Alligator mississippiensis: one gene and its partners. The protein of the gene in region 3 interacts with the protein of the main gene of each other region in a biochemical or structural test. Links are inferred from orthologs where the notes say so. Each region holds a gene or a part of one and is shown on either strand. Other genes may lie near its edges.

Region 1 (7,966 bases), on a different chromosome or scaffold from region 3:
GGGCCGGGAGGGCATGCAGGGAGCCCTCCAGCAAGGCCTGGAGGAGACTCACCAGGCAGTACGGGGTCTAGGAAACACGGGACAGGGTGCAGTGCCTGTGCGGAGGCACATGCTTGCACATGGATGCAGGCTTGCACATGCACACGCCAGCCTGCCCACAATGGGACAGAGTCACCTCTGGGCTAGGAGGGGCCCAGAATGTGGTGCCTTTGCCAGCCTGGGTGCGTGTGCATGCGTGTGCATGCATGTGCATGAGCATGCACACGTATTGTGCCTATAAACAAGTGTGTGTGTGTGTGTGTGTGTGTGTGTGTGCAAACTCTGCCTGCCACAACCCCCCTCCCCTCCAGCAAGAGCCAACCCCTGATACCCCCAGAGTCGGTGGTGTGCAAGACCTGTGACCAGCACCCCCTCCCCCTGGCACACACGCACCTGCTGCCCCACGCCCCCACCCCTGCCCTGGACTCCTGGGTTCCCAGCACCCGGTGTCCCCCAGACATGCCTGGAGAGCCCCAGCCAGACCTCTCTGCACCCCGGGAGCTGAGGGGAGGGGGGCAGGGAATGGACCCAGGTGCCCGGGGGGTTGATCTGGGGCCACAACTGGAGGTGGGGGGCCTGGAGCAGCCCCTGCGCCCCGCCACCCAGCCCACGGCTCTCAGGTTCCCACACCTGCCACAGCATCGGGCAGAACAAAGTCCCCATTGAGAAGCCACAGGTCTTACCTGCTGGGGTCCCGGGGACGTGGGCACGAAGCCTGGGGGCTCAGGGCACCCCCATGGCGCAGGCGGCAGGGCCGTGGCCGTGGCAGCTGTGGCTCTGTGCCGGCCCCAGGCGGGCGGCGGTTACATAAGCCGGGGCCGCAGCCCGACGCCTCCCCTGCTTGTGGCCACACAGGCACCGGCAGCCACCCCCCTCCACCCTCCCGGCCCTACGGTGGAGGCCTCACAGCAGGGAAACGTGAGCCTGAGGGACACGCATGCCCATGCACATGACACATGATGGGCGACACACGCACGACACTTCCCCTGTGCACACACACACGGAGCACACAGTGCCCTGCGTGCACCCATGAACAGCAATGTGCGCTGCACTCGGTCAGACCCCCACAGACATGCGCACACCACACATGGGGCCACACACGTGTGCATAGGCACACAGCAACACGCACACGGGGACACTGCAACATGACGCACGGGGCCACGTGCACACGGAACAACACATGCAATGCACACTGAGGTATCTCCTTCACATGTACTCACACACATGCGTGTGCTTACTGACATGCTCTGAGCCCAGGGGGGTCAGGCCCAACACACAACGTACGTGGATGTGCACGCACGCCTGGTGCATAGCCACGCACGCCTGCTCTGGAAGGCATGTGTGACGGCACAACACAGACTCACACAAGGAGCCCCCGACAATATGGGGACGTGTGTGTGACAAGGGGACATCCGCAGAAGCGCTGCACCAATGTGCAACACACACACGCACACAGACAGGGCTCCACGCAGCGATCCACAGACACTAAAGCAGTGACATGTGTGCACACACACGTGCAAACATGCACACACATGGCACCAAGCTGGCTCCGAGACTCCTGGGCCAACTGTAGCACAAAGCTAAGTGTGTCTCCCCCCCGCCCATTGCCCCCCAGGGACTCCCCAGATCACACGTGTGTGTGTGCACATGTGTACACTGAACAGGCTGCTTGTGTGCGCCCCGGGGGCAGCATCTGGGGGTGGGGGGGTATAAGGCAGGCACTGGAGACTGCGCCGTTTATGGGAGGATCCCAAATTGGCCCCACCCCCACTGTGGGAGCCAGCCAACGAGCAGGGAAACTGAGGCATGGAGAGGGGACAGGCCAGGCCCAGGTCACGGCAGGGGACCAAGAAAGAAAACCCAGGCACCCCGGCTCCCAGCCCTACCCAGGACACCCTGCTCGCCTTTCAGAGCTGAATGCAGAACCCAGGAGTCGAGGACGGTGGTGGCCCAGTCCTGGCCCAGCCTGCTCCGTGCCTCAGTTTCTCCATGGAGGGGGGAAGGGTGGAGGCTGGCAGGGTCATGGCTTGGCACTGCCCCTCCAGCCACCCCCTGGCCCAGATTCTGGGCCTCTTGGTGCTCATGAGCATGGGCACTTGCATGCCCAGCACACTGCAGAGCTGGGGTGGAAGCCAGGCGTCCTGGCTTTGAAGAAGGGACCCCGAAGCTGGCCAGGAGGAGACCTGGGGCAGGTGGGGCCACGCCACGGCCCTTTCCCCACTCCTGCCAGCAGCAACAAAAGCCCCTTTATGGGCCTTAAAGGTACAGGCCCAGCCCCGAGTTGTGCCAGGAACACAAGCTGGAAGCAGGGTGGGCACATGCCTATGACACATCACACATGGGGAACCTGGCCTGGAGCACACCAGGAACGCCAGGGCCGCACACACCTGTAACATGCCACTCCCAGGTTACTGGCTCCTCGTGCACCCACAGCACACGCGACACGGGAGTGCAGCTCAGAACGTACGTGGGCACGTCAGGGCCGCACTCGTCTGCAACACACACCACACACTTAGCATGTGCGTGTCCCACGCTCCGCCTGTCTCCCGCCGGGCAAACCGGGGGTAAATCTGTGCCAGTCAACTGCAGGGGGGCACAAAACACACTAGTGGCACGTGGCCACATGTCCGCAGCTCTGGCTACGGGACCACACTGAGCTGCAACAAGACCCAGCCCCGTGCTCTGACTTATGCTGGCACTGAGAGCACATACGTATTGCATGCGCAGGCCACGCATGTGGCAGGCGACACGCGTGGGCACGGGCTCTCTTGTGCCCCCGGGGCTCCTGGGCCAGGCTCCAGCTGGTCGCCCCCCCGCCCCTTGCCCCTCGGCCGTTACTGCGGTTTCCCTCCCACCTCCGGCGTCTGGTGCCAGATGGACCATTTATAACCAGCACCCAGCGCCCCCCCGCCCGCCTGGCCATGCTGGGCCCTGGCAGGGCTGGAGGCAGGGGCTGAGCTGGGCCCCCGGCATTGCGAGCGCCCCTGGTGTTGTGTGTGGCGAAGCAGCCACCTGCCCACCTCAGAGGTGGCTGCGTTCCCAGGCCTGGGAGGCACCGATCCTGGCAGAGCTGCTCACCAGGGCACGGTGCGCGGAGGGCAGCTAGGCTGAGAGCAGAGCCCACTGTCCCGGAGCCAGGCTGTTACGGGGGGGAAGGAGGGGCTGGGCAGGCGGGGGCCGCCCGCTTATCAGCACCACGCAGCGGATCCGCCCAGCAGCTTCCTCTGCAACCGGCGGGGCCTCGGCCGCTTCCCCCGGCCCCAGCACTTCCCTGCCGAGGAACCCAGGCGTCCGGGCCCCCCCGCTCCTAACCCACTCAACCCCACTCCCTGCCCTGAGCTGGGGAAAGAAGCCAGCCCCACTGGGATAGGACCCAGGTGTCCTCCACCAAGTCCCTGCTCTACCCACTGGTCCCAGCTGCCCCCCCCAGACTCCGAGTTTCCCCCCTGGCTCGCGCCCACCCCCACAGGGTCCGGGGAGTCACACACGCGCGTGTGCACATGTGCTAGTGCCAGGTGGGGGGGCTCCAAGTGCCTCCAGATGCCTGGCAGCAGGCAGCAGATGGCAGCTCTGCCCAGGGGAGTGGGGTCACAGGGGGGCTGTTGCCCATCTACCCCCCATCCTGCCCCCTTGACTATGGCTCAGCCCAGGACGGGGCCAGGGTTGTGCAATGGGACATCCCTCCCCCCCCCCCCCCCCCGCATTGTGCAATGCAGAGGACTCGCCCCTGGAAGCCCCTCCTCCCCCGCCGCCCTGCCCCCATCCTGCCCCCACCTCGGCCTGGTGCAGCAACTTCCTCTTTCCAGGAATGTGGGTCTGCCCACGGGCATCTGCTGGCAGGCGCTGGGGCGGGCTCCGGGCAGGGGCTGGGGGGCTCTGGACAGTGTGGCCAGACCCGCCTGCCTGACCCACAAGTCGGAGGGCTGGGCTGCCCGGAGGGTGGGGGAGGGTGCAGGCCTGTGTGCATGCCCCCCTGTGCCCACGCGTGTCTCTGCGGGTGTATAACCAAGCGTGTGGGAGGGCACCTGTGTGCATGCGTATGGCAGCGCTCATGGATGCCTGTGTTTGCATGCAGGCAGCCCCCACCTCTTTGCCAGCAGCAGGAGCTGATCTGCCCATAACATGGGGGGGCAGCGGGTTGGCAGGCGTGTGAGCGGGCACGCATGTCTGAGTCTGGCATGAGTGTACATGTTGCACGTGCATGCCCATGCACAGGCGTGCACGTGCCAGGGGAGGAAAGCGGGCAGCCCGGCCCCTCCACAAGCCACAGGTGCTGGTTTGGGGGGAACATGAGTACCCGGGACAGGACACGCGTGTGCATGGCGTGTGCACGGGGTTGGGACACCTAGGTCCTGGGTCCTTCCCTGGCCCCAGCAGGGCGGGGGCAGCAGGGGACACGTCTATGCCAGAGGCAGGTCCCCCCGGATCCCAAGTCCTGAGAAGTGCTGAGTCCAGAGGTCAAGGGTCATAGGTCAACATCCCACCCCAGGATCATGACCCCAGAAAGGGCCACCAGTCAACTGCACCCCACGCTGGGGTCGTGACTCGGAGGTCAAAGGTCATAGGCCAACTCCAGCCGACCCCCGGGTCACAACCCCAATGGACCCGGCTACAGCCCACAGCCCTACTCCAGGCCAGCCGCACTTCCGGTCACGTGACGCGAGTCCTCCGCCAATCCCAGCCCAGGTCTTGCAAAGAAGATTATGTCATCGCTTCCCCAGTCGTCATAGGAACTGTCCCGCCCCTCGCGGGGAGGAGCGAGGCCCACGAGCGACAGTGGTGTCGCCCAATCCTCGTTGGGGTGGAGGGGTGGGGTCCGCCCATTCATTGAAGCGCAGCTCCCGGTTGGCTAGAAGGAGGAAGTGGGGTAGCCAGTGAACGGGGAGCGTGCGGACGGGGGCGGGGCGTAGAGCCGGGATTGGCAGGCGAGCAGCCAATGGCTTGCGGCCTGTGCTCCGGCTCCACGTCGGCAGCGGGGAGCGCAAGATGGAGGCGTTGGTGCTGGTAGGAGCGGGCTCGGCCGGGCCCTACCACCGCCGCGGGGGGGGCGGGCCGTACCATTGGGGCCGGGGTGGGCCTGCAGGACCTTACCACTGGGGGCAGGGAGGGGGGCAGTGGGCCTTGCCGTGGGGGAAAGCGGGGCTTGGGCCCTACAATTAGGGGCCAAGGAGGGGAGGATTGGGCCCTACCATTATGGGACATGGGGTGGGCTACCATTGGGGAGCAGGGAGGGGTAGCTGGGCCCTACCATTGGGAGGCAGGGGGGTCTGGGCTCTACTATTAGGGGATGGGGGGGTCTAGGCTCTACCATTGGGGGATGGGGGGAGCTGGGCCCTACCATTGTGGGGTAGAGGGATCTGGGTCCTATGGGGGGGGTAGTGCTGGGCCCTACCATTAGGAGCCAGGAGTAGGGCTGGGCCCTACCATTGGTGGATGGGGGGCTCTAAGCCCTACCATTGAAGGGGCAGGGGGGCTGGGCCCTACCATTGGGGGATGGGGGGGGGAGCTGGGCCCTACCATGGGGGGTCTGGGTCCTACCATTGGAGACGAGGTGGGGGCTGGGCCCTACCTTTAGGATACACTTAGTGGGACCCTGGTGCCGGGCGAGGCCCATGGGCATACCCCCCACCCCTATGTCAGTGCCCAGCGTAGCAAAGGCTGGGCCAGGGGGGGCGGGAGGGAGGGCAGGTTGCCGTTCACTCTGAATCCTACTGACACCTCGTGCCCTGCCGCACTGCTGACGGCTGCAGCTGCTCCTGGGCCCCGTCTCCCTCCCCCTGCAACCCGAATGGCCCGGAGCAAGCCCCGCCGGCTGCTCTGGGGTCCTGCCGGCGCCTGGTGCTGCACGGGGCGCTGTGTGCTGCAGAGCGGGCGGCCTGCTCCCGGTGCCCGGCTGCAGACGGACGGGCTGTCGGGGGTAGGGCTGGGGGTCCGAGCAGGGTGGGGGCCGGGGGGCTGCCCCGGGGGCGGCTGGTGGCCTTTGAGGCGGAGTTCTGTCATACACTCGGACTGTGCTACCTGGGGTCAGTGCATCACAGAACTTTGTCTCGAGCGCCCGGATCCGTCGGTGCCCCCGGGACCCCTGGCCCAGCCCCGGCGCCCACTGGTAGTCACCCCCGGCCCACCCTGCCCCAGGGGCCAGCACTTCAGTACACCCCCCCCCCGTGTGTGTGTTTTGCCTGGAGACCTGAGCAATGCGTGCAAGGGGGGGTTGATATTAAAGGGGACTGGGAGGGGGTGGGCAGGGGGTGACACTGCCCAGTGCAGGGCTTGGCATGGACCCACTGGCACTTGCCTCGTGTCACCCTCTGACAGCTGGTGCAGGGGTGGGGTCTGTGAAAGCCACCAGCATGGTGGGGGGGACAAATCCCCATGGGTCCCTATCCGTGCTGGGGCCAGCCAGGCATCCCATCAGGCTTTGCAGGGGGGCAGTGGGCTGGGCTGGGGGCAGCACCCACTGGCACCTCCCAGGCATCAGGTGTTGTGCCAAGCTCCATTGGGGAAGGGGGCTGGCAGCATGGGGCACCTACCCCAAGGGCTTGGTGGTGGGTGGAGCCCGGGCTTGGTTGCCTCTCGGCTCATAAGGGGGGGGGCACGTGGGACAGGTGGGTGAGAGCTGCCCTGGTGGCATCGGTGCCCTCTGTCTCTCCCCAGCGTGACGTGGCTGGTATGAGCCCCCCCGAGCCTAGTGCCGGGGCCTGGACCTGCCTGGGCAGCCCCAAGGAGATGGGGGGCACCCGCTGGGTGGGGGCAGGGCTGGCACTGATGGTGCCATGTCCCCACAGGACCCGTCGTTGTACACGGTGAAGGCCATCCTCATCCTGGACAACGACGGCGACCGGCTCTTTGCCAAGGTGAGCATGGGGCGGCTGTGCCAGGGACTGAGGGATGGTGCCCAAGGGTGGTGGAGGCTAGGGGCGCCTGTGCCGGGGAGGGACACGGGCTGCACCTAGGACCTGGCTCCTTTGCAGAGCAGAGGCTGCTGTGCCCACTTGGCGGAGGGAAGTTAAGTGCCCACGGCCTCCGCGGCAGCCCCAGCAATAGCGGGTGCTCCCGGCCCCTGGGCTCCGGCCCAAGGGCAGGTGCGGGGTGCTCCAGGGGGCCGGGCTGTGCTGGGTGGGTGCAGTGCCAGGCTGACGCCGGTGCCCCCTCTTCCCCAGTACTACGATGACACCTACCCCAGCGTCAAGGAGCAGAAGGCCTTTGAGAAGAACATCTTCAACAAGACCCACCGGACGGACAGTACGGCCTGGTGGGGGGGCACTGCCTCAAGGGTGGGATTGGGGCACTGGAGGGCACTGCCAAGCCTGGTGCCTGGCAGCAGAGGGGGTTGGGGGTGACCGGGGCCCCTGGCCTGGGCCCCACCCCCCAGGCCCAGTGCAGGGTGTCTACAAGCGGCATCTGACCCCGTTTTACCAACCCCCCCAGGCGAGATTGCGCTGCTCGAGGGCCTCACCGTGGTCTACAAGAGCAGCATAGACCTCTACTTCTATGTCATTGGCAGCTCCCACGAAAACGAGGTGAGGGCAGGGGGCGGGGCCTGGGGGCGGAGCTGGGCCAGGCAGGGGTGGGGCCTGGGGTGGGCATAGTACAGGGGCAACTATGTGGGGGACATGGAGGGGGGTCGGTCCTGGTGCTGCCCTGGTATTGGGCGTTGGACAGAGGAGGGCATCAGGGCTGGGGGGGCAACACGGGCCGGGTCTGGGTGTGGGGGCTGAGTGCGGGGCCCAACTTGGCCTGGCCTGGGGGTGGTTTCTGGGCAGGCTGGGGCGTTGTGGGGGGGCGAGCCCGCAGTCAGATGGGAGAGAGGGGGGTGTCCAGACAGTGCTGCCATGTGACCCATGTGTCTTGTGCCCACAGCTGATGCTCATGGCTGTACTGACCTGCCTCTTCGACTCGCTCAGCCAGATGCTGAGGTGGGATTCGG
Region 2 (8,041 bases), on a different chromosome or scaffold from region 3:
TGGCCCGAATCGGGCGTCGAAAGTAAATCTCAATCGTGTGAGCTCAAGTTGTCCAAACTCTGGGATTCTCTGTAGCGTAATGCAGCCCCTGTGATGTAACCAGTGCACTTGTTCCTGAGTTGTGGCCCGTGGTTCAGAAAGCGCCTGCTGGTGGTTCACTGAGAACTGGCTGTTCGTAGGGTGCTGACTCCTACCTCTTTGGATCTAGCTCCTTGTAGACAGGTGCCAACTCCTTTTCCTTCAGAAAAGGTTAGTTGCCTGGAAAAAAAACCCAACTGGAAACAAACAGGGGCAGTCACTTCTCATCTTTTTCCTCAGTTTTCCCCTCTGTAGAAGGGGAACAATTATGGCACCCCTTCCCCTCAAAAGTATATAAAGTGCTCTACAGACAAAAGCCCTATCCTGTACCTGCCAGACATGCTTAATGTGCCAGGTAGAGAGGCTTTTATTTAGTCTCCGTTCAGAAACATTTTTGCTGTAGTCAGTGCCTAAATGAAAGGATCTAAGAACTCACCTTTAATTATGTACATACCTGCAATGGCCTTTGGCAGGGCTGGGCTGAGCTTGCTTGCACTTCATCTGTCTGTATCCAGAGGAAGGATGGTCTGGGAGGGACAACTCTGCACTGAAATTCAGCAGCTCCGGAGATCTATTTTGATTTCTCCTACAGATTTCCTGGTAGAGTTGAGAAGGGCTCATAACCCCTTTCTTTGTGTCTCAGTTTCCATTTCTGTAAAATGGAGATAAAGATAGTTCCTACTTCACAGGTGTTGGGAGGATAATGATCAATAATGGGTCGGGTATGGAAAAGTCAGGGAACAAGCAAGCAGAGAGGAGGGCCTGGGAATCCACGGTACCTTCTGTCTGCATATTCTGGAGCCACTTTCAAGTCCAAACAGCCCCAGGGGCTTCTGTCAGACTAATGTGGGAAGTGGGAGAGGCACCAGAGTTGCTGTGTGACACAGAACAAGCAAAAAATGAGATAAATGCTGCTCCCGTCTCCTGACCCAGTCGACAGCCAACATTTTACAGATCCCTGGCCCCCAACCCCTGGCTGGCAGGTAGCTTGGGGGCCCCTAGCAAGAAACTATTTCTTGACAGTTTTGTTTTAACGAAAGGAAGTTGATCTTTAAGGAGAATGTTTCCCTGTGCTTTGGACAGAAAATGAAACAACTCTGGGGATAATACAGAAAGCAAAATTGACAGGTGAGGTTTACAGGAAATTGAGACAGGTTAAGAGCTAATGGACAGGAACAATGGATATTTGTCTCAGCAATCTCTGGGACCCTGGGAAAAGAAACACAAGTCAATTAGGCCTGGCTCTTCCCTTTATGTCGGCGTAGCTCTGTTGTTGCAGTAGAACAATACCTCCTGCTTACAACATTATGGGATCAGACATGACCTCTGGATTTCTCTCTAGACAGGTTTCCCTCCGGCTGCAGGGACAACTGTCTCTTTGTGACTCAGGCTACCAAATCTGGCACTTCACCCAATACACTGTACTGCTGTATATTTTTAAATATGCCAGTTTCCAGACATTTGAAATACAAGGTCTTAAATGTGTTTCCTTCTTGCTATCTCTATGCATCTCTCTTTATAAAAAAAAGATGTTCATTCTCCTGTATAAGAGAGTTTATATTTATCACACTGAAGAATTTAGGAGAGAGTGCAAAGAAAGATGGGATATGTAAAATAAAAGGAGTCTTATCAAACACTTCTGTTGTCTGTATAACCATTCGACTAGTATGTCACATCTGACTGCATCATCATAACCTGGTAGGACCCTGTCCCCCAAGGTAGCATGCATCTCTATCGTTGGGGACCAGACAATAGATGAGCCCAGAAATAAGTGAAGCTGCAGCAAGTTGCTCCTTCCTTCTATTGGCATTTTGTCTCCTGAATAGGGTAGTAACCAAGCCAGGGGTTGATAGAAGTGTACCATGCTGGCAGTGTGCAAGTCATTTGGGAGTAAGGTGGCAAGTAAGAGGCAAAGTCACCCCTGCGGTTGTCAACTGACTGAAGAGTAAAATTATCTCTTGTGAGGTCCTTCTGGACCAAGAGTGAAGTGGAGACAATGTGGGTCAGGAACTGCTGTGATGATAGCAGGCCGCAAGGAGAGCAGTTCCCATCTAGCAGGATGTAATTGTGCAAAGCCCTTGAACAACTGCTTTGGAGCTGACCCAGGTATAGCAGTGACAATCTCTGGCAACAAGCCATGTTCAAATCCTCCTTGACCAAATTCAATGGTGTGTATAGGGAATAAAGAGAAAGCAGAGTCATTCGGCAATAGAAATAGGAGCCAAATTAAACCTGGTTCATGGAAAGCAGTGAAATGGCACCAGTTTATGTCAGTCAAGTATTTGACCTCCCCCCACTTGCTCCACATGTCTTATTTGGGTCTCCAACCAGGGTTTTAGCAGAAACAACGCTCTTGCCAGCCATGAATGCAACTGTGTGTAAATGTGAAACGTCACATTTCACCGCTGGACCCTGACTCCCACGTCTTTGGTGAGCCTTTGAGATAACAGCAGAGAGCAGGGACCAGCCACCAGGTACAAAGTCCACTGCCTGTTTGCACAGGACAGGTAAAGGACTGGCTGGAAGGAGAAGCCCTCCTCAGCCCAGCTGCAGCTGTTTCTGGACACTGCCATGTTCTTTGATGACTACTTGATCACTGGTAAGTACGCTTCTCCTTACAGATCCTTGCAGTAGGTGCTAGCAGCAAAGTTACAGTATCTGGCAAGATGTTTCTTAAGAAGGGCTCCTGTGCACTTTGTGATTCAGAGGGTCAGGCAGGTAAGATAAATTGGTGCAGCGCCTGGAGGTTTCAGCAACAGGTGCTAACTCTACCAATAAACAGTGCTAGGGGTGAGTAGTAACAGCTAGGCTTCCTTTTGCCAACACTTAGACTCCTAGGTGCCATGATTTTTCCAGAGAATGATGACATTCCCCACAATGCGGCTTCTGTACAGTCTGACCTCTCCGTCCAGAGAGGATGGAGGACATGCAGCCAGTGCCATGACCCACTCGGATGTCCCATCTCACTTGCTGAGCAGAGCTGGACTGGATCTGAACTGGGAGAGTCCTTGGGTGTTCACTCACAGGTGGGGCTATAGCAATCCTCAGCGATTATAGTGGTAGGTAACACCTTTCAGTCTGAATCAGCGCTGAACAGCCTGGTAGCATGACGCTAGGCGGAGCTGTGCTCCATTGCTGGAAGTGTCGGCTTTCAGATGAGATGTAAAATGTAAGCCCTGCCTTCCTTTAGTCATTATGGGAGGTGCACAGCCGTGTCCTGGCTGAATTTCACTGAATTAATTCCAGGTTTCCCTAAATGCCCCTGCATTTTTAAGTAGTGTTGGAGTGATGCTGTAGCTGTGATGGTCCAGGCAGTTGGTCCAATAAAAGATAGCACCCTCAGAAACCCTTGGTCCTGCATTTTTTAATGGGATTTTGTGTCCATTCTCATTCCCAAACCATTGTTAGTGAAATGTTCAATGGATGCCACATCCCACACAGGCACACAAGAGAGGGGAATGGACTGAGACAGAGGCAGCCAAGGGTGTTGAGGACTCATAGTGCTAAATTACTCTGGCCCCTGCCACACGTTACATTTCAAGCATGATTAACCAGTTAATCACATCTTAAGTTGTAACCTGGCCACACGTTCAATCATTCAGTGATATGATACATAAGGAATAAGGCACCAAATTATTCCACAAAACACATGTAGTAAGTTTGTGTCTGGTTCCTATCACACCATTAATGGAAGATGTAGCCAGGTGCACCCCTGGGGCTGGGAGCACTATCAGCTGAGAGGGCTCCCAGCTGCAGGTGCTTACCACTGGCTGCTGCTCTGGGCAGAAAAGACAACTGGGGTCAAATAACACCAGCAAGGTGTGTGTCCAGTCTCCTTTTGAAGACCTCCAGAGTAGGTGCCTGCACCACCCCTGCTGGGAGTCCGTTCCAGAGTCTGCTCACGCAAACTGTATTTGTATGATAATTTTAACCCTTGTACAACAGATAATACTGAAAGTGTTCAAAATGTACAATAATTTTTTCACATCATTATATTTGGGGGAAAAAAACCAAGTAAGTCACTCCACCGACAATCTGAGCTGAACTAGTTTATTTAATCCTATGATCTCACCCGTTCTCACTCGCATTGAATTGGAATTTGAGAAGGAATAAAGTGAGTCATATCTGCCATTTATCTTTAACTGGAGATTTAAACAGTGAGCAATAGAAAGTAGCTGCATAACAAACACATCGCTAAATCCCATTGTGTAATAATACTAAGAGCTTTATTTTAAATACTATGTAACATCTTAAATTGATTGGAAGTCAAAGGGGTTCTGCGCCTGCCTCGCTTGCAAATTCCAGGCACGTACCTAATACAGCCTGCTGCAAAATAAAGCGTACAAGATTTACAAGACGCAGCCCCGAGCCGCGAAACAGAGACAAGAACAATCGCAGTAATAAATTCAGTTTAACCCGCAGTTGGAGAAAGACTTAAACCAAAACCTCCTGGCCAAGTCTTTGGGGAGAGGAGGTCTCTTTTATTAGACCAACTAAATAGTTGCAAAAAAAGGCTGAGCGGGCAGTGCCAAGCAGGGGGGCGCAGCCTGCGATGACACCAGCAGAAGCGACCACATAACATGACGTCACTTTAAAAAGTCTTATGTGCACACTTTTTGTTTCAGTGCATGACAGTTTTTCAGAAAATACGGGAATTGACCTTCCAATTTCATATTTAAAACCCGCTCCCTGCCCCAGACCACAAACCAGCCTCGTCCCGACCCAGCGCCAGCGCCGGACACCGCCCCGCGCATGCGCAACCGGCTGCCTCCCTCTCGGGTCGCAGCCCTGGGTTGGGCCGTGCCCCGCCTACCACCTAGCACCACCTTCCGCATAGCGCATGCGCAGCCCCCTCCTTTCGCCCGGCCACGTCGAGGTGAGTGACGGCTCCGGGCGCCTTGCGCGTGCGCACATGCGCGAGACGGGCGGGCTGAGGTGTCCCAGTGACAGCCTGGCAGGAAGTGGCGTGCGGGCAGGAAGTGGCGCCGCTGCTGGGCTCGCGACCCTCTGCCCCCCGTGCCGGGCTTTGCGTTCCACGCGCCCCCCACCCCCTGCGCCAGGATGCTGAAGAAGTTCGATAAGAAGGACGAGGAGTCGGGTGAGGCGCGGCCGCAGGACGCCCCCTGGTGGTGGGGATGGGCGGGGCAGGGGCACCTGCCCATGCAAGGACAGCAGGGCCAGGGCTTTCTGCAGTGGGGCAGGGGCAGGGGCTGCGGTGATGCTGGGCTGGCATCTGCAGGTACCGGGCCACACCGGTGCCCCTCTGCTGTCGTCCTGGTGCCCTGCTGGAGGTACCACCGGGCTGCACTGCTGCCCCATCCCCTGCCAGGTGCAGTGCCAGGGCTGGCGACACAGCCTGCCCCAGGTGCTGATCCTGCCCAGGGTTCGTACGTTCTCTGCACGTGGAACCTGACCTCGGCCATCCGTGTCCAGGGGTGTTTCCACCTCTGCAAGGACAGGCTGGCTGGCTCCACGGGGCCAGGCCAACCTGGAAATGCTCAGCAACAGGGGGTGCTACCGTGGTATATCGTGGAGGACAGGGGCGAGGGTTGGAGTGATAACGAGGGATTGGAGGGGGGCGCGGAGCGGGGGACATCAGCTGGTGCCCACTGCTCCTCAAACGCATCCAGGGCTATGTGGTGTGCATTGGGAATGCGGGCTAATGCCCACCATGTAAAGCTACAAGCCCCCCTTTAATATGGGGTGCCACAAAGTGCACATGACATTATTGCTGGGGACACCTAAAGAAGAAAATGGGGACAGGAGTGAAGATCAGAGGTTTAAAAGGGGCACACCATGGAGGGACACAGAGCAGAGCACGCTGGCCAGCACCCACTGGCTCACCACCAAGTCCAAGGAGCCAGTGAAACTCTGCCTGGAGACGTGAACACAAAGGCAGGACAGGAAAGCAGCCCTTGAATGCATCTAGGGAGCCTGCAAATGCTGCCCAGTAAAACTGCCTGGAGATATGCGTGGAGGAAGAAGATCTGCCCACAGGTCCCCAGGTTGGCTCCACCCTGGGTGTCCTTCCAAGTCTGGTAGATGACAAGCTTGGCCAGAGCCAAGTGGAGGTTGCCCAGCAGACCTGCCAGGAAGGGATTTCCTTGGACTTGATGACCCCAGAGGTCCCTTCCAGCTCTTCTCTATGATTTCTATTTTGATGCATGTCAGACCTGTTGATATAGGTTTGGGCCTTCTCTGAGCCTGTTTCTCCTTCAGCTCAGTACTTCCTAACGATCCTAATGATTTTGTGCTTTTGGGGGTGGGACTAGTTTTTTGGGCTCTCTCTCCAGGGACTCTATATAATGGCACCTAAGACACATGTCAGGGCCTCTCATGGTCTGTGCAAATGTCAGAGAGGCTGTTAAGGAGGCTGATTGAAGATGCGATTGGTCCTTTGTGTTGTGGCTTTGGCACTCTGTCCACCTCAGTGTACTTCACCCTGCTTCCTACAAGCTTTTATTTACTGTATCCACCCGGCCTGCACATCTTGGAGACCCTCCAAGTCCACGTGAATATTTTTGCTCTGGTTCTTGGTGCTTGTTTGCATTAGGCTTTTCCATGTTAAATGAAGTTTCCTCTCTCCGAGCTACATGCACAACAAAAAGCTAATCCACAGAGGATTTCTTTCAGTCTTGAACTCTTGCCAAGTTCAGGTTTAAGTGATGTAGCGTGTCCCTTAGCTTACTGACCTCACAGATTAGTCTAGTACATCCAATCGTAAAAGGACAGAGAAGATCATTTTGTGGGTAAAACCTGGTAGTCAGGGGACCAGAGATCTTTTCCAGTTCTTCCACATCCTTCTTATGCAGCCTGGGCAAGCCATGTAAGGGCAATTTCAAAAGTGGCCCCAACTTCTGAGTGTCCAGTGCAAGGCATGTAGCAGTGCTGAGCATTCCCAACACCCCGCGGAGGTCAGCGGAAGCATGTCCACAAACCAGTACTCAATTAGAGGTCATTTTGGTAACTGTAGCCCATAACTTATGTGCCTTGGTTTTCCCCATCTCTGAAATGGGGATAATTATTTGGGTTGCAGGATGCTTTAGTAGTTAAGTCAACACAGATAAAATGCCTTAAGATGCTTAGGTGCAAGGAGTTGGAGAAGGGTCAAGCAATTGATGATGGTTAGTAATATTAATGACAGGTTTGAGAATTACAAATATTAGAAGCCAAAGTGATCCTTGGGTTGCAGGAGTGAGCAGAGTTAGGGGCACTGGATGCTGTTAAGCCTTCCCTGCTAGGTGAGCTTATTCAACCCGCTTTTGGAGTACGTACATCTACAAACACTGGCATTCATCGCTCCTCTCTTGTCGTCTCCCTTCTCTCTTCATCTGCACATTTAAGCTTTGTTCAGCCACATGTTGTGTTGGTGAATGGATCCCAAGGTGGAGGGGTATCTCTTGCCTACATGAAAGGAACCAGTGCCTTTAAGTATAGATCTGAGTCTCACACAGACTGCTTCTCCCTTATACAATTCTTCAGGGCCAGATCATAACAGGGCATTACATGTCAGGGACTATACTGAATGCAGGCAGCACCAGTGTTGAGCGAGGGTGGCTTTGGGTCATGTTGGGTCCACATGGCAAATTGAGTTTAGGCACTAATGAAAATTGCTTATCAATAACTGCCAACTCAGGCAAGGCTGAAACTCGCTGATACGTCCAAGAAGGGCAGATAATGGATGCTACACATAATTGTAGTTCTTGCCCTGTGAGCGTTCCAGCTCTAATTGTTGATGTTTTTCATCAAGTAGCGTTTGGTCTGTTAAATAGGATGATTAAAGAGACTCTATTTCCAGGCTGTCCAGTCCACTGCCTTGTTCGCTTTAATTAACTGTAGATCTGAAAAAATAGCTTATTGATGGATTCCGCTGATTGCATGATGGAGCAGAGTCTAACACAGTCCTGATTTACCGGGGGGATGGGGAGGTAGAGCTTTGTGGGTTTATGGCTATGTTGGATTG
Region 3 (7,721 bases):
AGAATACTTGAGGTTTTACCATGCCTTACATGAAATGATACCTTGCCCTCATCTGATCACACTCTCTGAAAAAACAGCAGAAATGAAAGGGGTGTTGAAATGAGAAAAGGTCTGGAAAGTCTTTCATGAGAACAGATGAAAGATTTGGGACAAGTTTAGAGGGGAGGTATGAAAGTAAGACAGAGGTATTCAACATAATGAAGACATAGAAAAGCTAAGTCAGGCAATCCTATCAACCCTCCCCCAACCCCTGCTCACAATAGCAAAGCAAAAAGGCAAACAATAAAATGGAAAGGCAGCACGTTTAAACACTTGTGAAAAGAAACACTCTCCTTATTTATCATCAGAGCATCTAATTAACTCCTACAAAAGACCACTGGAGCCCAGAACTTTGTAGGATTCAGCAAAAAAGATTCAGCTATTTAACACGATTGATAGAACTGCCACGTCAGCCAGGATAAAAACAAGGGCGATAGATAAACCCTCCTACATCAGGGAACAAACCATAAACCGACAGGAGATTAGGGAGAAACTTGCTCTGTAGCACTTCTTGCTCCTTCCTCTGGACCAGCATTTCTTGACCCAGAAATGAGTTGCAAGAATATATGAAAGGGTCGCGAACAAACTTTAAAAATGGATCAACCAACTTTAAAAATGGATTTAAAATAGAAAAAAACATGGGAAACCATGGCTTTTCCCCAGCAGAGTTCCAGCTTGCAAGGGGCTGTTTGGGGCACCCCATGCCCCACCCCCCAGGAGTTGGGGTTGGGAGTGAGGGGCACCGGCAGGGCCAGAGGGCTGTTTTCTACTTAAACTATTTATTGGGTCAGGACTGGTCATCAATGTTAACCTATTTTACCAGGACCCATTTGCAGAGAACCACTGCTCTGGACCATCTGGTACTAGATGGGCCTCTGCCTAGGCAGAGTTCAGCCTTCCGGCTCACCAGCCCTGGAGACCAGTCACAGTACCACCTTGACTCACCAAAGCTAATTCAGGGTGATGCTGTACGGTCTGCACAACAGGGCATCAATCCAAGAGATCGACTGCTGGTGGGCAAGAAGTAGGACTGACTTGAAATGGTCTCTTCTACATGGGGCGCTGCTGCTCTAAGGTTAGCTGGGCCCTGTCTGCTGTGTTCTGGGGCTGGAGGAACCCCTGCCGCTCTCTCTACAGAAACAAGCAGAAAAGCAGGGTAGAGTTGCACCATATAAACGAACCAATTCAGAGATGCATAATATTTCACAAGCACCAGCTCACTTCATGTGATGCCACAAAAACATCTCACAAAGTAAGCTGTTGATTATGAAAATTTACACATCCCTGAATTAGGTAGTCTCTAAAATACAACTCTGCCAAGCCTTCTGCCTGGCCTCAGATTAACACAGTTAAATACCTCTCTGCATAAACGAGGCTGTGCTGTTCCTGGGACTAACTCATTTCTCCCCCAGAACCCAGACTGGGTTCTCTCCCCAGCACTAGCAGCAGACTACCCATAAACCACAGTTCAGACAATAACACCTCTGCTGTCTGTTCCCATCAACTGGGCCCATTACTCAGACTCAGCCAAACACATTATCTGTTAAACCGAGCATATGGGAGAGAGGATAGCTGCACAAAGCCCAATCAACACTTCTGTGGGGGAGAAGCCAGCCTGAAAGAGTTTCTTCATGATATCCTAGCGTTATTTACAGTAACACTGCTCCCCCCCACAGACACAGCATTGTTCTCGCTTGACAAACAACACATCACGCTGGGAGTGTGGGGAATTGAACAATGAGACAGCTGCACGTGACCGGGGCCATGGGGAACGTCATCCACCCAAGAGCCTAGACTCTGCAGCCAGCTGGCGCACTTAGCAGCCTTCACGCACAGAGGGTGCCACTGTTCATATTGGGATTTCACAAACCCTCAGGACTCTGTTCATCAATAAGAACCATCCCAAGTACAATCGATATCAACTCCCAGCCTCCTACAGGTTCATAGCTAACCAGGGGGAGCTTGCCGCATCACTCTGACTTCCGGTGCCAAAGAAAAGGTGCCACCTGAAGACATCCTGCTCTGGCCTCGCCCTTCTGCATCCAAGTACACAATGGCAAAGGAACTGCATTAAAAAGCATTGGCAAAAGCCAGCACTCCTAGGGCAGAGCCAACACATAGCCTGCACACAGCACTCAAACAGCAGAGCAGGGCAGCAAGACACGCAGCAGGCCACTGCTCCACCGGGGCGGCTGCACACGGGCAAGAGAAGACAGCTTTTAAATTCAAACTTGTTGCTTACTCAGCACCTCATGGCTGTCTACAGCACCAATCCCACAGAAGGAGGCAGCACTACAGGAGATCCCTGCAGGTGCTTGGTACCAGGAGCAGGAACGGGGAGCAGCACAGAGCCAGGAGGCGCCAGGCAGGGAGTTCGGGGGCTCACCCCGGGCACCAGAGCACCCCCAGGTAGCAAGCGGAGCTCTGCCACCCCATCAGCGCCCCGCCCTCCCAGCGGGGCTCACGGGCACCGGAAGGGCGTGTGCAGCCGCCCAGGACCCGGGGCCGCCCAGGGCTGCCGCCTAGCGCAGACGATGGGGGTCTCCCCACCGTAACACAGCAGCTGCATGGGCGGGGCCGGCGGGGGGCGCTGCTGCGGCAGCGGAGCTGCCCCAAGCGCCGGCGCCGCCACGTGGGGCCCCTCCCCCGGTGCCACGTGTAGGCCGCGGTCCAGGCTCTGCGGCGGGCTCGGCCCCCTGGCCCCCCCCCCGGCCCGCGGCGGCACCTTGAGGTTAGCGGCGGGGCCAGCGGAGGAGCCGGGCGGGGCGCCGATCTCGTACTCTCCCGTGACCAGCGTGTCGCGGTGGATCTCCTCGCGCAGGCACTTGCGCGCCTTGCCCGGCAGCTGGAAGGAGATGGGCCGCGCGGGGCCCGCCAGCAGCAGCAACAACAACGGAGGCAGCGGCAACATGGCGGCGGCACGGCGCTCCGGATGCCACAGGCCGCACGTCCGCGCGCCGCACGTGACCCGCCACCGCCTGCGTGGTGCGTCACCGGGGGCGGGGCGGGCGTGGGGCCGCGTCATCCTGCGCCGCGCGTGCCCTGCTGTGGGGCGGTAGTAGAATGGTCAGTGGCGCGCGGCCTCGTAGGCGCGCGCAGCCGTAGCGTGTCCTTGTGCCGCAGCGGCGCGGCCTGTTCCAGCCTTGGGACCGGGGCGCTGCCACGTGCCTCTTCGCTGCTGGGGAGGGGTGGGGATTGGGTTCGTCAAATAAAGTTTGGTCAATTGAGCAGTCAAACATTGTAAAAAATTGCCAAAGGGTCCAAATAATACATAGGAAAAGCACAAGTTTTCCATGAAGGAATGTGTCAAAAACAATACATCATATTTCTGTCAAGAAAACTACAAAGAAATAGGGTTTTTTGTAAATTTGCTATCATCTTTGACCCTCTCAAAAATATAGAGTCAACTGATTGACTTGCCAAGCCTACTGCTTGCCAACTCTAGGCAGGAACCTTCCCCTAGCAGCTATCCCAGCCACTCTCTCCCCAGGCTGCCCCATGCTGAGGCACAGAGGAGCAGAGCTGACAGGGGCCTCACAAGGACCTCTAGTTCAGCCCCTGCTTAGGGCAGGAGGGCCTCGGGACCCTGTCCTGCCATGCATCTGTGCAGGATGCTCCTGAGGAGCATCATGTTGGCTCTGAAGAGCTGGAGGGGAGGGAGACATTTACTCATTTGACCTGACCTGGGGGAGGTGGGACAGAGCTGGCTTTGTTAGGCTGAAGTCAAGAAGCAGGCAGGAAGACTGGTACCTTACAGGCTAACCTGAGAGAGACAGTGTCTACCTAACTAAGTGTGTGTGCACGCGTGTCTGTCTGTCTATCTAGTTCTACTAGCTAGCTAGCTCTGTAGCACAGGCTTTGGTGGTATGAAGCTCACTGGCTTCAGGCACGGCAGACGGTTCTTCAGCTAGATGTGATATCTTTTATTAGACCAACTAAATAGTTGGAAAAATTGTTCTTTGCAAACTTTCGGGCACAAACACCCTTCTTCAGATATAAGGAGAGTCCAGTGTTGTTTTATATGCTTTCCTGGGTAGAACAGAAGCCAGTATGTAAAATGCTGGTCTGTAAAGATGCAAATGTGTGGCGGTGAGGTTCAGAGGGAATGGGAGACAATAGGTGTGAGACAGGTGGGGCAGGGAAGGAAGGGGGAATGTTGAACTGGTGACAGAATGTAGCTGATAAAATGCAGACTGATTGCCTGGGGTTGTCAGATGGCAGGCAGGTTATAATGTGCTGTCAATCCAATGTCTATATTTAGTCTGTGATTTTTTGTATCCAATAGATTTATGAAGTGAAGTTGTAGGCTTGTCTATGAAAGGTGTTTTGTAAACTGCCTTTGAGGATTAGAACTGAGAGACTGGAGAAAGAGTGGTTGTCTTGTGAGAAGTGTGTGCCCACCGAAGTGATTCTTCCACTCTGTTCAGCCCTGGCAAGGCCCCTCCTCCCCCAGCCTACCATGTCCAGTTCTGGGCCCCATACTTCAAAAATGTCAGGGGCAGATTTTAATGAGCCCAGAGCAGAGCAAGAATGACTGGGGCCTAGGAGGCAAGACTTACGAGGAAAGGCTGAAAGAAATAGGGTGGTTTAGTCAGAGAAGACTGAGTGGGGCTTTCATTAGTCTTCAAATACCTGAAGGGCGATTACAGAGGATGCAGATGGGCTTTTCTCTGTAGCTACAGAAGACAGGACCTGGAGCAATGGCCTCAAGTTGCAACAGGATATTTAGGAGGAACTTTCTGACTATAAAGGTGGTCAAGCACTGGAACAGGCTACCTAGAGAAATTGTGGTTTCTCCATCTGTGGAAGTTTTCTTGAAATTGGCAAAGAGCCTATGACTATGGTTGATGCAAGCGCACATGGCTTGCAGCAATGCAGGGATGTGGCCAGGCACCCAGAGCAAAACAGAAGCAGCAACTTCTGGTTGCTGCTGTGGTCCTGAATGTGAACCTGGGGCTGCTGGCAGCAGCTGCTCTTTTTTGCTTCACGTCTGCTAGCACCCAGGATGGTTGCCCCTGTCACTCCCCCTGTACTTACACCACTGATGGCTTGATTATGTCTTGATGCATGATCACCAGTGGCACATGCTTCCAAAATACAGAACTATGTTCAGATTGTAAAAGAAATGGTGATGATTATTTTCTGTAGCAATTTTATTAATATTATGGGCAGGAAACAAAATAGACTATGCCGAATTGCAAAGCAGTCTTAAGAAACTATGTATAAGCCACTGCTTAAGCTTCAGAAAATAGTTATTAATTCACAAAAAGATTGGTTAGATGTAAAGTGCAGGCCTGGTGAGGACATCAATGTGTATCTGCTTTAAAAGAGCATGTAAAGAGCATGTAAAGCATAAAAGCATGGCTCAGGAGGAAGAAGCATTGGAAGTAACTGTAACTTAAGTACTACCCATTTTTTAGACAAAAATTTGACAAACTCAGGAAACGCAGTGTGACTTAATATTATGGAAGTTTGAGAGAGCAGCCAGGGGGAGAAGGCCAAGAAGCACCTTCAATCTCAAAATCATATTGGGACCATAAAAAAGTCACTGCATATGGTGAGTGAGATTCTCTTAAAAGGACATCACGTTATAATACTAGGGAGGGAGCATAGTGACAACAAGCAAGCTAATAGGGCAGCAGCCAAGCCTGAAAAAATGTTTCCAGCAGCAGATGTGCTACCTCACAAATGAGAAACAGTAAACCCTTCATACATCCTGGCAGGGTGGCTAATTAGCTCACCCTAAAGCAACTATCCTATTGTATCCTGCTACCTTGCTTCTCATTTAGGAGGTTGTGCATTATGCAAGTGCTTCAGGAATGTATTCCCCCCCCCGCCCCAACTACATTTCTGGATTTACCCTTCCATGAGGATGGGAATGCTAAACAATCCAACTGGGCACATCTACATAAGACATTCATTGTGCAGTTGACTTATTAGCTGTGCAGTAAATGTCTACCATCTACACATGCACCTCATTAGGCTGCAGTAGCTTAATTTACTCCACAGCAGGACAGTACGTGTAAATACAAATACTATCCTACTGTAGAGTAAAACAATCAACAGCAGTGCACACGTAGATACTACAGGGGCTGACTGGGAGATGAGGGTTCTTCAATGCAGGGGCTGCCTGCCGACTGAAGCACCCTCGTGCTCCAGCCAGCCCTCCTACAGCAAGTTGAGCCATGGGGACTGAGCAAGTTGTGCCATGCTGGCAGGTTGACCCCCAGGGCTCCCTGCCAACTGGAACTGCTCTGGTCTGGCTCCACATACTGCGCATGAATAAACTGCAAAGTTTATTGCTCCCAAGTTAATTGCTCCAGAATTAATTGCTCCTGGTATGTTCAAACAGCGTGCCCAGAAGCAATAATCTGCAGAGCAATAAACTCCACAGTTTATTTGTGCGTCGTAATAGCATGTCTAGATGCGCCCACTGAGAAATGCAAGAACAGAGCCCAGGTATAATAGGGCTAGCAAAGATAAGATATCTAAGACTGAAACCTACAATAGCAAATACAGACAAATGAATGCAAAAGAACTCTAATAAATTCCTGATTGTCTTTTGGACAGGCTGGATTGTAGTTTCATAGTTAGTAGGGTCAGAAGGGACCTGAGCGGATCATCAAGTCCGGCCCCCTGCCATGGGCAGGAAAGAATGCTGGGGTCAGACGACCCCGGCAAAGTGTCTATCTAGCCTCCTCTTAAAGACCCCCAGGGTAGGAGCGAGGATCACTTACTTCCCTTGGAAGTTGGTTCCAGATCCTAGCCACCCTGACTGTGAAGTAGTGCCTCCTGATATCCAGGCTGAATCTGCTCTCTGTCAGCTTATGGCCGTTGTTCCTTGTTACTCCCGGTAGTGCTCAGGGGAACAGGGACTCTCCCATTGCCTGCTGGTCTCCCTTGGCCAGTTTATAGATGGCCACCAGATCCCCTCTCAGCCTCCTCTTGTGGAGGCTGAACAGGTTCCGATCCCACAGCCTATCCTCATAGGACCTGCCCTGCTGACCCCCGACCATGTGAGTGGCCCTCCCCTGGACCCTCTCAATGTTGTCCACATCCCTCCTGAAGTGTGGCGCCCAGAACTGGATGCAGTACTCCAACTGGCGCCTGACCAAGGTCACATAGAGGGGGAGGATCACCTCCTCGGACCTGCTCGTGATGCATCTATGGATGCATGACAAGGTGCCTTTCTGACTGCATCCCCACATTGGCAGCCCATGTTCATCTTTGAGTCAATAATGACTCCAAGATCCTTTTCTGCCTCTGTGCTGGCGAGAGGGGAGTTACCCAGCCTGTAGGTATGCTGTTGGTTCTTCCTATCCAGGTGCAGTACCTTGCACTTGTCAGTGTTGAAACCCATCCTATCCTCATCCGCCCATGTCTGTAACCTGTTCAGATCTGATAGCAGCTTGTCCCTCCCCTCTAGCGTGCCCACCTCCCCCCACATCTTAGTGTCATCTGCGAATTTGAACAAGGTGCTATTCACCCCCTCGTCCAAGTCGCTGATGAAGATGTTGAACAGTGCAGGTCTGAGGACTGAGCCCTGCGGAACCCCACTGCCCACATCCTTCCAGGTCGAAAAAGACCCATCCACCACCACTCTAGGTACAGCCCTCCAGCCAATTGGCAACCCATCTGACCGTGTAGGGATCGACACCACAGTTGCCTAATTTGTTAATGAG

What was found.
Region 1: the proteins of TMED10 (region 3) and COPZ1 form a complex in vitro, tested with the Homo sapiens proteins (2 studies listed by BioGRID, with this or other methods). The link is inferred for Alligator mississippiensis from reciprocal best matches to the Homo sapiens genes TMED10 and COPZ1.
Region 2: the proteins of TMED10 (region 3) and COPG1 form a complex in vitro, tested with the Homo sapiens proteins (2 studies listed by BioGRID). The link is inferred for Alligator mississippiensis from reciprocal best matches to the Homo sapiens genes TMED10 and COPG1.

What each region holds. Positions count from the first base shown.
Region 1 is NC_081838.1:7,959,349-7,967,314, reverse strand, and holds the start of COPZ1 (coatomer subunit zeta-1), read left to right. Parts: upstream 1-4,957; 5' UTR 4,958-5,025; coding exon 5,026-5,043; intron 5,044-6,824; coding exon 6,825-6,893; intron 6,894-7,199; coding exon 7,200-7,281; intron 7,282-7,467; coding exon 7,468-7,559; intron 7,560-7,899; coding exon 7,900-7,955; intron 7,956-7,966. UniProt on the Homo sapiens protein: The coatomer is a cytosolic protein complex that binds to dilysine motifs and reversibly associates with Golgi non-clathrin-coated vesicles, which further mediate biosynthetic protein transport from the ER, via the Golgi up to the trans Golgi network.
Region 2 is NC_081835.1:19,921,558-19,929,598, reverse strand, and holds the start of COPG1 (coatomer subunit gamma-1), read left to right. Parts: upstream 1-5,032; 5' UTR 5,033-5,139; coding exon 5,140-5,176; intron 5,177-8,041. UniProt on the Homo sapiens protein: The coatomer is a cytosolic protein complex that binds to dilysine motifs and reversibly associates with Golgi non-clathrin-coated vesicles, which further mediate biosynthetic protein transport from the ER, via the Golgi up to the trans Golgi network.
Region 3 is NC_081825.1:261,331,664-261,339,384, forward strand, and holds the start of TMED10 (transmembrane emp24 domain-containing protein 10), read right to left. Parts: upstream 3,080-7,721; 5' UTR 3,065-3,079; coding exon 2,765-3,064; intron 1-2,764. UniProt on the Homo sapiens protein: Cargo receptor involved in protein vesicular trafficking and quality control in the endoplasmic reticulum (ER) and Golgi.